Pelodiscus sinensis: one gene and its partner. The protein of the gene in region 2 binds, or shares a complex with, the protein of the main gene of each other region. Links are inferred from orthologs where the notes say so. Each region holds a gene or a part of one and is shown on either strand. Other genes may lie near its edges.

The links.
Region 1: NCKAP1 (region 2) and ABI1 share a complex: the UniProt entries of both Homo sapiens proteins name them as parts of the WAVE2 complex. The link is inferred for Pelodiscus sinensis from reciprocal best matches to the Homo sapiens genes NCKAP1 and ABI1.

What each region holds. Positions count from the first base shown.
Region 1 is NC_134712.1:226,076,407-226,083,607, forward strand, and holds the start of ABI1 (abl interactor 1), read right to left. Parts: upstream 3,015-7,201; 5' UTR 2,896-3,014; coding exon 2,779-2,895; intron 1-2,778. UniProt on the Homo sapiens protein: May act in negative regulation of cell growth and transformation by interacting with nonreceptor tyrosine kinases ABL1 and/or ABL2. May play a role in regulation of EGF-induced Erk pathway activation. Involved in cytoskeletal reorganization and EGFR signaling.
Region 2 is NC_134717.1:49,699,392-49,706,725, forward strand, and holds the start of NCKAP1 (nck-associated protein 1), read right to left. Parts: upstream 3,095-7,334; 5' UTR 2,912-3,094; coding exon 2,804-2,911; intron 1-2,803. UniProt on the Homo sapiens protein: Part of the WAVE complex that regulates lamellipodia formation. The WAVE complex regulates actin filament reorganization via its interaction with the Arp2/3 complex. Actin remodeling activity is regulated by RAC1.

The DNA of each region.
Region 1 (7,201 bases), on a different chromosome or scaffold from region 2:
AGTAAGCATCACCCTTAATGGATGGTGCATTTCAATTAACCCATGGAGGCAGGAGCAGCTCCCCATCTGCCACAGGCAGAGGGCTGCTCCAGCCCTATGGGTCCCAGCCCTTCCTGCAATAGGACCCATAGGGCTGGAACAACCACCTGCCTGTGGTGGTGAAGGTGGGAGACTCCATGCAATTGGGCTGGAGCAGCCCCTCCATCTGCCCATCCCTTTAAACCAGGCATGTCCAAAGTCCGGCCCGCGGGCCAATTGTGGCCCGTGTTCCGGTTTAATACGGCCCCCGCTTCCTCCCCCTCTCCCGGCTCCCCGGCGCTCTTTTGAACTGGCGCGCCCAGCGTGCCGCTTCCGGCCGCGCCGCCGCCGCCCATGGCCTCCGCGGTCCTAGAGCCTGCCCTGTAGGGCAGGTCCGCAGCCCTGCTCCCCCGCTCGGCTGCGGGTTCGCCCTGCCCCCGGGACGCCGTGAGGCCGGCGTGCCCTGTGCTCTCCACCCGCCTCCGACCCCGCGGGCCCTCCGCCTTGGGGCTGAGAGTGCGGGAACGGCCCTCACGCATGTTCACATCTTCAAATCTGGCCCTCTTTGAAAAAAGTTTGGACACCCCTGTTTTAAACCATTTAACTGGTTAAATATGTTTAGCTGGTTAACCAATTAAACGGGATTTTACATCCCTACTTTATACTATTCTAACTATAGAACAGATGGCTTTACACAACCACTAGGAAAATTGTTTTGCACTAAATGTCAATTTCTCATTTAGCACTTTTACTCAATTAGGCTAAAGCTGGACAGACTACATACTAGGTATAAAATCCACTAAACTACTACTTATTTATTCCCATTAGTTAATTCTGTTTCCTTGCAACAGGAATACACAGCTGTAGGAGGACAAAACTGTAAAATATACTGATTTGTGTACAGCTAGCCTTGATTCTTAAGGTGGTTCTTGGTTTGATGCGTTTCAAATGATCAATGAGGACATGTCTCTTAAAAAGATTTGAAAGCAACATGTAATGCCAGAAAGAGCTCTACAACTCTCCTGAAATAGAAAAAAGAGTTGACAGGTCAAAACATGTGCTGCAGTTACCACACTACTGTGTTTGTCATATTTCCCATGAGTAAACCCAAATGCAACCTCGCCTCTCTGAAGCATTTATATAACCAGCTTTTTTAGGGTGGAGCACGTAACTGAATAAGAACAGTTTAACCCTTATCGCCTGACACTGTGAGAAGGATTTATAGCCTTCTAAAACAAGTTCTGATTTGCTATTTGAATTTTAATTCAAATATCAAACAGCATTGCCTGACATGTCAGAAAAAAGTAATTTCACAAAGGGATGTTGAGGGATAGTTAAAGTTTGATAAAACCACTAAATTACTATCCCACTTGCACAAATAAAATAGTTGCTAGTTTCAGGCAAATGCTAAATATTAAAACATTAAAAGCTATATTAACTTTAAGTTACACCTAGCCCTAGGCAGTGATAGATTACAGTCAACAGGTTTACTTACATTGTAAGGAAAAGCCATAGTAAAAAAGCACAATTTTTAATTTCTCTTTCCTTAAGAAAGTTTTTCTGTGGACTACTTTGGGCATCTGGAAGGGCACTGTGTCCATTTCAGTTCACATGTATACATGCAATTATATCAATTATTTTCAGATGTATACAAAGATTACTATGAACATACTTTTCAAAGCCAAAATAAAAATGTACACACATGAGTTTTAAAAAGGGCTAAGGAAACTGAAGCAGCAAGATACAAGAACAAGTGCATTGGGGTGCACCTTGAGGCAAGAGACACCTGATTTAAAAATATTGCTATAGGATGTCTGAATTATGAAGCAAGCAGCTTTACTATCTCAGAAGGAGAAACTGCCATGCTGAAATAGCACATCATGTTTGCACATTACCGCCTATATACATGAGTACTGCTCATTGTAACAATTCAAAATCACCAGTACAGAATGCCAGGAATGCAATTCATGTATGTAGTTTTAAGTGAGAATTAGATGCCAACTATTAAAAAAAATCCACTGGGGGGGCAGGGCGACAGGGCGGGGGTGTCCCTTCTTTCTTCCCCAACATACAAACATATTTCTGCATTTGTCAGTCATTTGTATTTCAACACTCGCCACAGCCAGCATTTGCAAACCTCACACTTACATCCTTTCTGAAATTCACCTCTTTATACAACTAACAGGGAGAGAACACCCACCCCGGAAAGATGAAAAGGGCTGATGCCTATTACGTCTGTGCAACTGACTTAAGAACCCAGAACTTCAGGGTTTTTTTTTTTTTAAATGGTTAGTTTGATTATTGAAAATAACACTGTAGCCACTCCAAAGCCAAACGGCGGCGGGGGGGGGGGGGAGAGGGGGAGAAACGAAAGAGGAGGAGGAATTTGGTCTGACAGAGGCAGACTTTCAAGCGCTCAATCAGAGGCATATACAAATCCACCCTCTCCCCCATCTGGGCGCCGTGAGTCACAATAAAATAAATAATAAAAGAGACACACCCTCTGGGCTGAGCCGACAGAATCACCCCTCCCTGCTCACAAGCACAGGCGGCGTGGGGTGGGGGGAGTAAGAGGCACTGGGGCTAGAAAGTTGCAAGGCAGAGCGAAGAAGGGAGGGGGCGGAGGAACCGGGGCGCTGCGGCGGCGGCTGCCGGGCGATACAATGTATCGGCGGCGGCTCCTCCGGCTGTTGCAACATTCGGTGCCCACTTCCTGCACCCGCCAGTGCCGCCCTCCGCGCCCCGCCGGGCCGCCCTCACCTGGATGTAGTTGTTCTCGCAGTAGTCGGCCACCCGCGTGAGGTTCTGGTAGCTCTCGAGCAGCGCCCTCTTGCCCGAGGGGATCTCCTCCTCTAGCAGCATCTGCAGCTCTGCCATTTTCCTCCCCTCCGCATCGCTTCCTCTTGCATTAAAGAGACAGCGGCGGCGAGCCCACAACCCGCCTGGTATTGTGGGATTCCTCCTCGCCTCGCTTTCGTGAGGCCGCCCTGCTTTCCCCACCCACCCCGAAAATGCCCGTCGCACTGCATGCTGGGAGTTGTAGTCTGCTCCTCTCCAACCCCGCCCCCCTCCCCGCGGTATTTGGTTCTGGGAGTGGGCATGCGCCGGGGAAGCTGCAAGGTGTGGCTTGGGGTGGTTCTCTTCCCTTAGGCTGCGCCGTGGCTGAGCTCGGTGCTCGCTCCCACACGAGCAGTTTCTCACTAGAGGGAAAGCTGAGCTGTTAGTCCCACTCGTTTCACCGGCTTGGTTCAAAGCAGGATAGGGCTGGGCCAGCTGCAACTGAGGGAAATTAAACAGCATAGAGCCAGTTCCTCGGGGAGACCCGCTCTGCATTGCAACGGGGAGAGACAAAAGGCGTGACACTCAGTATTTAAACACCTTCTTCCCATCTACCCTGCCTCCCTGGATTATCCAGGCAGACCTTTCTCAGCGGCTGTAACAAACATTGAGATTGTCCACATATTAAAGACTTCTGAACGGCAGCCATTAACACTTTTCAGCATAACACTATTATTGCTCTTTTTTCTGGAATCAGTGTCCTGGTCTGACCTAGTGGTGCCCTTGTGCCACAAGATAGCAGATATCCTGGACCTGTACGTGGAGTTTCCAAATATAAGAGAAAGCAGTGATGTGAGATTTAGATATATTTTGATTAGAGAAAGCAGTCATATAGCACTTTAAAGGCTAACAAGATAGTTCATTAGGTGATGAGCTTTCGTGGAGCAGACCCACTTCTTCAGATCATACTCTGAAAGAGAATTGGTATGACCATTATGTAACAGAGGGATACAATGAAAAATGTAAACAAATTACAAACTAATGAATGGGCTACATAGAACAGAAGGTGGGGGCCAGGGGACACGGAAGGAGGAAATTGCTTATTAAGAGTTAATTAAGTGGCTAATCTGGACTTACTATGAATATCAAAAGGTGGGGAGGCTGTGTTTGTAATGTGTCAGGTAATTATCATCCATATTAAGGCCCATTCACAACCTGTCAAATTTTAGCATAAATAAAAGTTCTGAAGTCTCCCTCTGTAATCAGGTGTTAAAGTCTCTTTGTAGTAAGACGCATGTTGTCAGGTCTTTAAGGGAATGTCCAGTTTGATTAAAATGGTGGCTGATAGGTTTCTGTGTGTGGAGATGTCTGATGTCAGAACTTCAGCCTGCATTTTAATCAAACTGGCCATAGCATGCATGTCCAATAGCATGCAGATAATCATGGATTCTAGGAATCCAAGCCCAGCAACAGGTCCAATATCCAGTTGATTCCAAGGGAGCAATCTGGGCCTCAGGTATTTACTTTAGTCAGAGCTCAAGGCAAAGAGCCTCATACAGTTCCTTCTTTCCCCAATTGGCTTCTACACAGCAAAACCTCACATAACCCAACACTACCAACAATACAGCATGTCTTTACAAGATTCAAAATTTGCTTGTATGCCAAGGAGAATAATGTGGAAGAATATGTTTATAGGACCACTTGGTTATCATCTGCGTGACAGTGTGCTAGAGGCTAAAGAGCAAGCCAGCTGTCTTGTCACTTAGATGCCACTTAGTTCCCGAGAGAAAGCAGAGGGAGATAATTAGATAGGCTGACTGGGTGAGATAAGGAGTCAATTAGCCCATCAGCCCAAGTCTGATAGAGATGCACAGGAAGGAAGTGGTGGAAAGAGGCTAGTTGTGCTAAGTCACTTCTACATAGCAGAGCTAAACTCGAATTAAACTATGTAACTTCAGCTATGTCAATTGTGTAGCTGAAGTCGAAATAGCTTAATTTGCCTTTTGGCATAGTCTACACTGCAGGAAGTCGAAGGAAGAACACTTTTTCTTCAACTTCCCTCACTCTTCATGAAATGATGGTTACCATGAGTCAGAGTAATAAGTCCTCCAGCTCAACATTATTTTGAAATAAAGGCTTGTAGCATAGATGCACACTATGTTATTTGGGAATAACGCTGCTGTATAGATAGCCATAGAGGGCTCTGGGAAGGGAGATTTTTATTCCACTCAAGTCCAGAGGTGTGGGTCAAAAGCACTGCAGATATTGTAAACAGATTGTTGCATAGTGAGTGCTGTGGTGGCAGTGAAAGGAACTTAAAATGAACACGTACTACAAATGTGCAACCATTGAATTTTGCAGTTTCTTCACGGAAGACCCCACTTGCCACAACATTACTTCAGCCCCATTTGCAGACAGGGAAAACAAGGGCAAGTAACTCACTCAGTCTCACAAAGCAAGCCAACAGCAGAGTGCATGCATAGAGCACCTGCCCTGACTCCATGGGCAAATCTAGACTACCCTCAGCTTCAGAAAGAAGATATGCAAATTAGGTGTGAATTTGCATATCTTCTTCCAATCCCTTTTTCGGAAGAGGATTTTTGAAAAAAAAAAAAAGCAGTCTAGATGGGGTTTTTCACGCAAAAACCCCTTTTTCAAAAAAAACCTGTAAACCTAATTTTTTGAGGAATAAGGGTTCTTTTGAAAAAGGGAGGGTTTTGCATGAAAAACCCCATCTAGACTACTTTTTTTTTTTTAAATCCTCTTCCGAAAAAGGGATCGGAAGAAGATATGCAAATTCATACCTAATTTGCATATCTTTCGGAAGCCGAGGGGAGTCTAGACATGCCTCAAAGGTCATACTGAAAGAGAATAGAAAATGGTATCTTCAAGCTCTGCCCCTGGAGTTACGCTTGGGAGGAACATATATGGTCTCATGCCCCTCCTTAATATACCATGATTCCTGCATAGGATGCTGCCCAGTGCAGTGGCTGCATTCTCCCAGGTACCTGCTATGCTGCACTAGGCAGCATAGCCAGAGGCTGCCTGGGAGGAGGCACAGCGAGAAGGGGCGCTGCCCCACTAGGTAACATGCCAAGGAGATGAGGAGAGCTGGATCGGGGGTGGAAATAAGTCATATGGAGGTGGGGCTATGTGGGGAGATTTCATGGGGGTGGGAAGCCTACATTCCCCTTCAGCTGGTGCTCCCTTTGTGACCATTCCACTAATCAGCCCTGCTCTGTCCACAAAATGCTATCCTTGTGAGTTGTTTGCATGAGATTCTGCTCATAGTCGATCCTGTAGCTGTTTAAAACATGTTGATGTCATTAAGTTCTCTGAGTTCCATCTGGCTTCTTCATTTTGGCTCCCTCTCAGTGGGAGTTGCAGATACCTATGGGCTCATCCTTGGGCTTGGCTCATTTTTTATTGGCGGGAGAGGGGGGAGAGGAAGTAAGTGGTGCTATAGTGCAAACAGCACTCACTTGTGGCACCAAAATGAGACTTTACTCACAGTAATTTGTCCAGATCTGTGACCTTCTGTCTTCTTTCTTAGGCCTTGCCTGCAGTGGCAAGCTTTACCACTGGTGTGTAGTTACTAGGGATGTAAACTCCCGTTCAGTTGGTTACCTGATTACCAGTTAACCCATTAAAGAGGGCATGGGCAGAGGCTGCTCCAGCCTAGCCAGAGCAGTCCCTGCCTGCTGGGAGTTTGGGCCTACCACAGTCAGAGGCAGCTCAGATCATCCCCTATCCAAACAGGCTCCCTGTGGGGCTGGAGCAGACCCCTGCCCACAGCAGGAGGGGAGATGCTCCAGCCCCCACCAATTAACAGTTAACTGTAAACAGTAAGCATCACCGGTTAACCTTTCACATCCCAGCTATTAGTTACACGGGTATGACTTCCCCCCCATGTCAACTTATTCTGATATATGAGTGGTTTTGGCCTGTGTGCCTTGCGCGCTTGTGTGGCCACTCAGGATTCAAGTGCCACCCAGCTTATTAGCAGAGCACTCAGCTTTGTTCCTACGGTTGGTACATGTTTGCATATGCCTGGTACACACAGAAAAATGTATTCCGCGCATGGATAGAAAAATTTAGCGGGAACATTGGGTTTAGGGTTGCCAGCCACCCACCCACCCACACCAAACACACATCCTGTGTGGCTACTACCAAGAGCCACCAAGCTGGGAACAAAGCGGGAAGCAGCAGAGCCTGCTCTGCAAAAGCCGCTGTCTGCTACCCAAAGCAGAGAGGCTATGTCTACACTGGCGAGTTATTGCACAAGTACGGCCATTCTTGCGCAAGAATCCGCTGAGCATCTACACTGCCCACCCACTCTTGTGCAAGTAAATGTACAGTACGGCGTGATAAGAGACAGCTCCGTGCAGGCCTGGTCCACGTGGGT
Region 2 (7,334 bases):
AAGGCCTCCCTCTTTAACATTATGTTGCCATTCAGTTACCACAGCGATGAATACAGTTTAAAAACAAAAAACAAAAACCAACTTAGGTAGAAAAACAAGCAGCTTCATGAACTCCCACACAGATTTCCATTTGATGCTCTACCAGTTTTGCAGTGGAATACACAACGTAAAGTTGGACTACCTACATACACCTCCTAAACCACGCAATGTAAAATGCATTTTAAAATGCAACCATGTAACTGCTAAAAATCATAGCGGTTACACACACAGTGGGCAGCGAAGCCTCCCTAGGAGCAAGGCCAGCAAGGGCTGCTGCTGGCCCAACTCCCCGGGGTGTGAGGAAAGTTTCTCTGCAGACTCTGCTGCAGCTGGGGCAAGGGAGTAGGTGGCCAGGGCTACCACAGACAGGGTGGAGAGCTATTATAGCCCCTAACAGTTAACAGAATTGTTATGCCTCTCCAGTTCAGGGTGATGCTTACTGGTTAACAGGTTAACCTTTTAGATCCCTGAAGTTAAGCATTTTTACTGTATGTCATCTGGAGCAGATGCAATTTCAGAGGCTTGAAAGACAAACACCATATTCCTGTCAAGCAGAGTACCAGTGAGACATTGCTGATGATTAAAGCCGGATCAACCCTTAACACTTTTCCCCCATATAGATGTGTAAGCTTAGGGTTAATTTATTTTATAAGACCACATAGGTATATGGGCAAAGCCTTAACAGAGTTACAGTAGCAAAACGGTGATTTTATCTATACAATGTATTTCACTCACCAAACCATAAGCTATACTGTCAAAAGATTATTGCCAATATAACTGTCTACACTAGAAGGGTTCTGCCAGCATACCTTACAACAGCAAGCACAGAAGTGTAAATAAGGAAGATTTAATAAGTTTCTTAAAGTCATTTTCTCTGAATACAAGGTTTCTCTGTTTTACTATAACCTTATTTGTCATCTTTTTTTACTGTTACAGTATTAAACTGAAACAGCAGAGAGAGCATGCTGGTCATTATACACACACACACACCCACATATATACACATGTGCACACATGTGTATATATACACACACATACAGAGCAAACTAAAACCTTGTCTGCACAAGAACTTTGCACCTGTTTAATTAGCCTGACAGTTAAACCACTGCAAACCTGTTCCTAAATTGACCAAGTCATAAATAAGCATACCCAATACAACCTTTTTGCACCAGTTTAACTAAATCAGTTAAAAAACCCACAGTAACAGGTATATAAATCTGCATGTAGACATGCTCTTAAAGTCTCACACTACAAAACTATTAGAAAATCACTGTCTCACAATGTTTAATTTTACTAGACTAAATTAAATTTCTGAAGTAAAACAATGTAAAAGCTCTCTCAAGAATCGGGTTGCAGCTCATAGTTGAACCAGGAATCACTCCACTGAGGCACTCAGTCAGTACCTGTTGCATCCGTCAGGGTGATTGTGGTTCTTTTTATGAATCAACTCAAAAGTGTTTTTGAAACAGTAAGTGCAAAGTCTGAGCGTGCAGAATTACAAACACATAGAATAGCCTGTGGAACTTAGAGTCTCAATCCTGAAAATGTCTGTACAGTATGAAGACATCAAATCAAGTGCACTCAAGCTGTGCATTCTAGAATGCACTAGTTAAAGCAGGCTATATATAAATAGTAGTAAAATCTGAATTAACCAAAATTCACTATCACCTAACTGATTCATTAGAAACCTGAAGTTCTACTTCATGTCTGTATATCATTGTTGAAGAAAGTCTGATACGTCAAGAAGAATTGAACGATTTAAAAATGATCACTACAAAGTCTATAGTTTTGAAGCAAGGTTTCTTGTGTTTAAACAAGATGGAAAGACTTATCAAGTTAAGCCTTTCCAATGAAGGAGTGGTGATTTTTTCCTAGATGAATAATCATAAGGTATGTTCACTTCCTGCAGCCGTGAATCATTTTCCTTTACAAAAACACTATTTTCTTTCCTTCATTTTTCTAATCAACATAGAGCCAACCTCTTTTAGCACCAAAAAGGATTCAAAAACATCTGCTACAATTAAAACTAGCAGCAATCTTTCTAAACAACCACCTGTCTCAAACTTATTGAGATTACAAGATATTACTTTTAATGAGATCTTTCCTCTTAGGCGGCTAGGAACCTTTTGCAGGTTGGACTGGGAAGCTGACCCATACTACCCTTGATCCCATGACTGACAAGCAAAAACACACACAAAAACAGAGGGGAAATAATGCCCGCTTCACACCCCATCGGGCTCTCCCTAAGAAATCCCGTGGGCAGACGGGAGACAGTCATTCTCCCTTGGGATTGTGGGTGGCCTCGCAAGCCTCTCCCCTCCCTGCTCCTTCTGGGGGAGAAACACCCACCCACCCGCGGGCTTCGGGACCCGACGGGTCGGTGAGATCGGCCTCCACGCAGAGGGAGGCCCCGGGGAGCGCAGGGGGCCCCCTCCCCGCGGCGATCTCACCCCCATGGCCCAGGGAGGCCGCCACCAGACGGGAAGTTTTCCCACCGCGGCTCCGCGACCCTCGCAGGAAGCCCCGAGCCCACAGTGGCTGCCCAGCGCTGCAGCCGAGGATGAGCCTGTGCGGCGAGAGCTCGAGCGGGCAGCGGCTGCGCCCCGGGCCCCGCAGCTAGGCCGCGGCGGAGCCGCCAGGGTCCCGCTGCAGGATCAGGCGCAGGAGAGAAACTGCAGCGCAGGGCCCAGGAGCGACTGCGGCGGCCGAGACCCTCCCGCCCGGCTCCCCGCGCCGTCCCGCCCCCGCCGCGGGGCCCCCGCACCTTCTTGATGTTGTAGAGCCGGGTGAGCATGCCGATGCCCCGGTCGTTCAGGATGGTCAGTTTCTCCGCCAGCTTCTGCTGGCTGGGCTGCAGCACCGAGCGCGACATCCTGCTGCGGCCGCCCCGCGCTCGCGGCCCAGGCCCCGCCGCCTCCCGGCCCGGCCCCGCTCACAGCGCCTCCATCGCCGGCCCCGCGCTGCCCTCCGCTCGGCCTCGCTCGCAGGCTCCGCTAGGCGTGGCGCCGGCGGCGGCTCTGCCCGCTGCCCACCGCCAGCCAGGCCGGGCTCTGCCTCCGCGTCACATGACGCGCCGCTCGCTGCCGCCCCCTGCGGCCGACAGCGGGAGTCGCGGCCGCCGGGGCGAGATTGGCTGGTCGCGCTGGGTCGGAGTCTTGCCGCCCGCTGGCCCGGCTGGGGATCAGAGACGGGGCTGGGCGGTGACTCGCCTGGCCTCTCTTCTGGGGGCTCCTATTGAATCCTCTTCAAGCAGCCGCCACAGTGGGGCCAGGCCCCAACAGCCACGAAGTATAACCCATCCTCATTCGCCCCATAGCACGAGAGTGGGATACACCTTCAGCTTTGGGGAGGGGGGCTGCTGGGGTCCATGTTGCCCCAGGCTAGCAACTGACTTTTTTAAAGAACAAAAATTGAGATTTTTACATAATCCTGGGATTCAGGAGCTAGAGTCAAAAGCCAGCATACCAACAGCTGCAAGCATCGCTGTCCAATAGGGTCCTTCCAAATTCAAGCCATGAAAAATATGTTGGCTGTGAAATCGGCCTTCCTCTGTGAACTCTGGCCTTTTGTGTCCTTTTACCCTATACTCTACAGATCTCATGGGCAGACCAGCAATATTCCTTTTAACTTTTTCCCCAACCATGTGTGGAATAAATTTTGTTATGTGCACAAAGGCATATGCAGATCAGCAGAAACATGTGCTGCCAATTGTGGGCACTCTGCTAATCAGCAAGGTGACATTTGAATCTCTTCTGGGTGGCCACCCAAGTGCACAATTTATAGGGAACACTGGAAGCCAGTGTTACTCAATTTGGGAATCCTGATCCAAAAGGGCATTGCAGGAGGGGTCACATGGTTATTTGGGGGGGGTCATTGTATTGCCACCCTTACTTCTGCACTGCCTTCAGAATTAGGAAGCCAGAGAGAGGTTACTGTTGGCTGGGTGACCAACTCTGATGGCAGCACTGTGGCCAGGAGCAGCACAGACATAAGTGTAGCAGTATAGGAACCTCTCGAAAAATAACCTTGTAACCCAACCCCACAACTCCTTTTTGATTCAGGACTGCTGCAATTACAATACTGTGAATTTTCACATTGTAATAGCTAAAATAATGACATTTACAGGCAGTCCCCGACTTACGTGGATCCGACTTACGTCAGATCCCTAGATACGAACGGGGTGAGGCAACTCCCGCACATGCGCAGCAGCATTCCCGGGGCTCGCTCACCTGGGTCCTAGGATCCTCCTCCTCCTCGGGCCGGCTCCGACTGGGGTCCCGCAGAGCTGCCGGGCAGAGGAAAAGTGCCTCCCCACGCCCGCTGCCCCCCCCCCCCCCCGCGGCCTCGCATCCTGCACGCCTCCCCCCTTCCCCCTGCCAGCAACAGGCTGCCCCCTACCCTGAGCAACAGGCTGCCAAACAGCAGACAAAAGCAGCCTCTCCGCCCCTCCTCCCCCTATACATGCTGGGCTCCCTGGGCAAACAAAGACTCCACCAAAACAAACAAAGTGCTGGCCTCATTGTGTTAGCAAAAAAAGGACCCTCCTCCTAGAACCCTGGGTGGTGTGTGGAAATAAAGCTATTAGCTCAAAGCATGGTGCAGAGCTGTTTGGTATTTGATGAGTTACTCCTTTAGTCCTGAGTTTGTCACAGGGACAGAAATAGATGTGAAATCTTCTGAACAGGGGAACAGACAGCAAAACAAACATTAGAGGGGAGTTAACCTTTCCCTATGTTATCCAAAACTAAAAAAAATGTTTGGCTAGAGTTTCCCCTACAATATGTACCAGTTCCGACTTACATACAAATTCAACTTAAGAACAAACCTACAGTCCCTATCTTGTACGTAACCCGGGGACTGCCTGTACTATTTTTAAAATCCTGTGATCATGAAATTAACCAGTTTTGATGGATGTTAGATGTTTGGCTGCATGTGTCTCTTCTCCCTGCATGCTGTCCTAGCTCTTCACAGACAGATACAAAGCTACTTCTAATACAAGGTCTTATGTTTTTTAGTACAACCAAAATGTACCATGGATTTGATAGGTCCCTACTAATCAGCCCTGAGTACTGGCAATACTGCAGTCTTTCCCTTTTCTATTCCAGCTACATAATGCTGACATCTTGGGGTCAGTGAAACACACATCCATGAATTCCCCAACTGAAGAGTCCTTGAGCCCAAATCATGGAGTGGGGGAGCCAGGGAATACCACCTAGCTGCCACTAATAGCACGGTAGGGTTGCCAGGTGTCTGGTTTGAAGCTTTCTGTTTGGGAAACAAATTGAGAAAATATAAATATCCGGTATTTTCTACATAAGATGTAATGTAGATTGTGATGTAATGTCAAGTGTGTCCGGTATTTTTGTTGAAACCATTTGGCAACCCTAAGCACAGGTCTGCTAAGATGCTCTCCAGATGGGTGCAGGACCAGGCCTTGTCCTTTCTTGGACAAAATATCTACCAGAATATCTTATTCCTTGGTACACACCTCCTGTTCTCCCTGGCTCTTCAAGTACTGTCTTCAGGTGGACTAAGGTCTATCTGGGCTAGAGAAGGACTCAGCCTCTGTTCACTTGAGCAGAGGATGCTGCTGTATCATTAACTCCAAGTTCTCAAAAATCATGAGGTTGGCTTAAAAATCATAAATTTGGAGATCACTTTATTTGCTTTGTGGTGTTTGAGCTGGTAGGGTACACTCAGGTACCAGTTTTATACATTATTCTACCAACATGTGGGCTAGAAACATTTTTAAAATACAGGCAGTCCCTGGGTTACGAACAAGTTAGGGACTGTAGGTTTGTTCTTAAGTTGAATCTGTATGGGTACGTCTACACTACAGCGCTAATTCGAACTAACTTAGTTCGAATTAGTTAATTCGAACTAAGCTAATTCGAACTAACGCGTCTAGAACTAAAAACTAGTTCGAATTAGCATTTTGCTAATTCGAACTAGCGTGTCCACACTGATTGGACGCAGGGGGGCATTTAAGGGCGGCTGAAACCGGTTCCGGCAGGGCATCAGGTCAGTAGTTGCTTTGTGTGGCTGCTGTCTGAGGCTATCTGAGGCTCGTGCTTAAAGGGACCCCCCCGGACAGCCGGTTCTCAGCTTTTCCTGCTTCCTTGCCAACCTCGCCAAGGGACAGCAAAGCGTTGGTCTCTGTGCCCGTCTGTGTTGGTGCTTCCCTTCGGGGCCGCCGCCGCAGGTGGCAACATGGAGCCACAGCTCGCCCTGCACCTTCTGGTGCACTTTCTGGACTTGCTGCTGCAAGCCTGCCACCAATGGCTCAAGGCTGCCTGGCACCTCCTGGTGCACGTCAGCCCCCTGCCTCTCCGCCTGGCCACCCTGGGGGCCGTGGAGAAGCCGCGGCAGCGCCCCGGCACCGGCATGCCCCGCCACATCTGGCGTCGACACCAGCAGCGACTGGTGGGACCGCATCGTCCTGGAGCGCTGGGAGGACCGACAGTGGACCCAGAACTTCAGGATGAGGAGGGACACCTTCCTGGAGCTCTGCGAGTGGCTCGCCCCTGCCCTGCGCAGAAGGGACACTTGCATGAGGCCCGCCATCCCCCTCCAGAAGCGGGTGGCCATCGCCCTCTGGAAGCTCTCCACGCCGGACAGCTACCGATCCGTCAGGAACCAGTTCGACGTGGGGAGATCCACCATCGGAGCGGTGCTCATGCAGGTATGGCACTCGTCGGCCACCGAGCCGGTGGGGAGGGGGGCTGCGAGGAGGGGATGGGCCGCCCCAGGGACAAAGGGGGGCCAGGAGGAGGCGAAAGCGCCCTGCACCGGTGGGGTCGGTCTGTCCCGGCCGTACTACACGCCGCCAGGGGGGTTGCTTCCGGGAGTGGGGCGCGGGGCACTGCCAGGGCATGAATGCTCCCAGCCACCCAGGCGCCCCACTGATTGGCGCTTTGCTGTGTCTCTCTCCGCAGGTGGTCAAGGCCATCACCCGGGTGCTGCTCTGCAGGGTGGTCCGCCTCGCCGACCCGGACCCCGTCATCCGGGGATTCGGCGCCCTCGGCTTCCCCAACTGTGGGGGGGCCATCGACGGGACGCACATCCCCATCCGTGCCCCGGAACACCAAGCCTCCCGGTACGTCAACCGCAAGGGGTACTTCTCCATCCTCCTGCAGGCCGTGTGTGACCACCGGGGACAGTTCACGGACATTAATGTGGGCTGGTCCGGCAAAGCACACGACGCCCGGGTGTACCGCAACTCCTCCGTGTGCCAGCGGCTGCAGGACGGGACCTTCTTCCCTGACTGCCACATCAGGGTCGGGGACGTGGACATG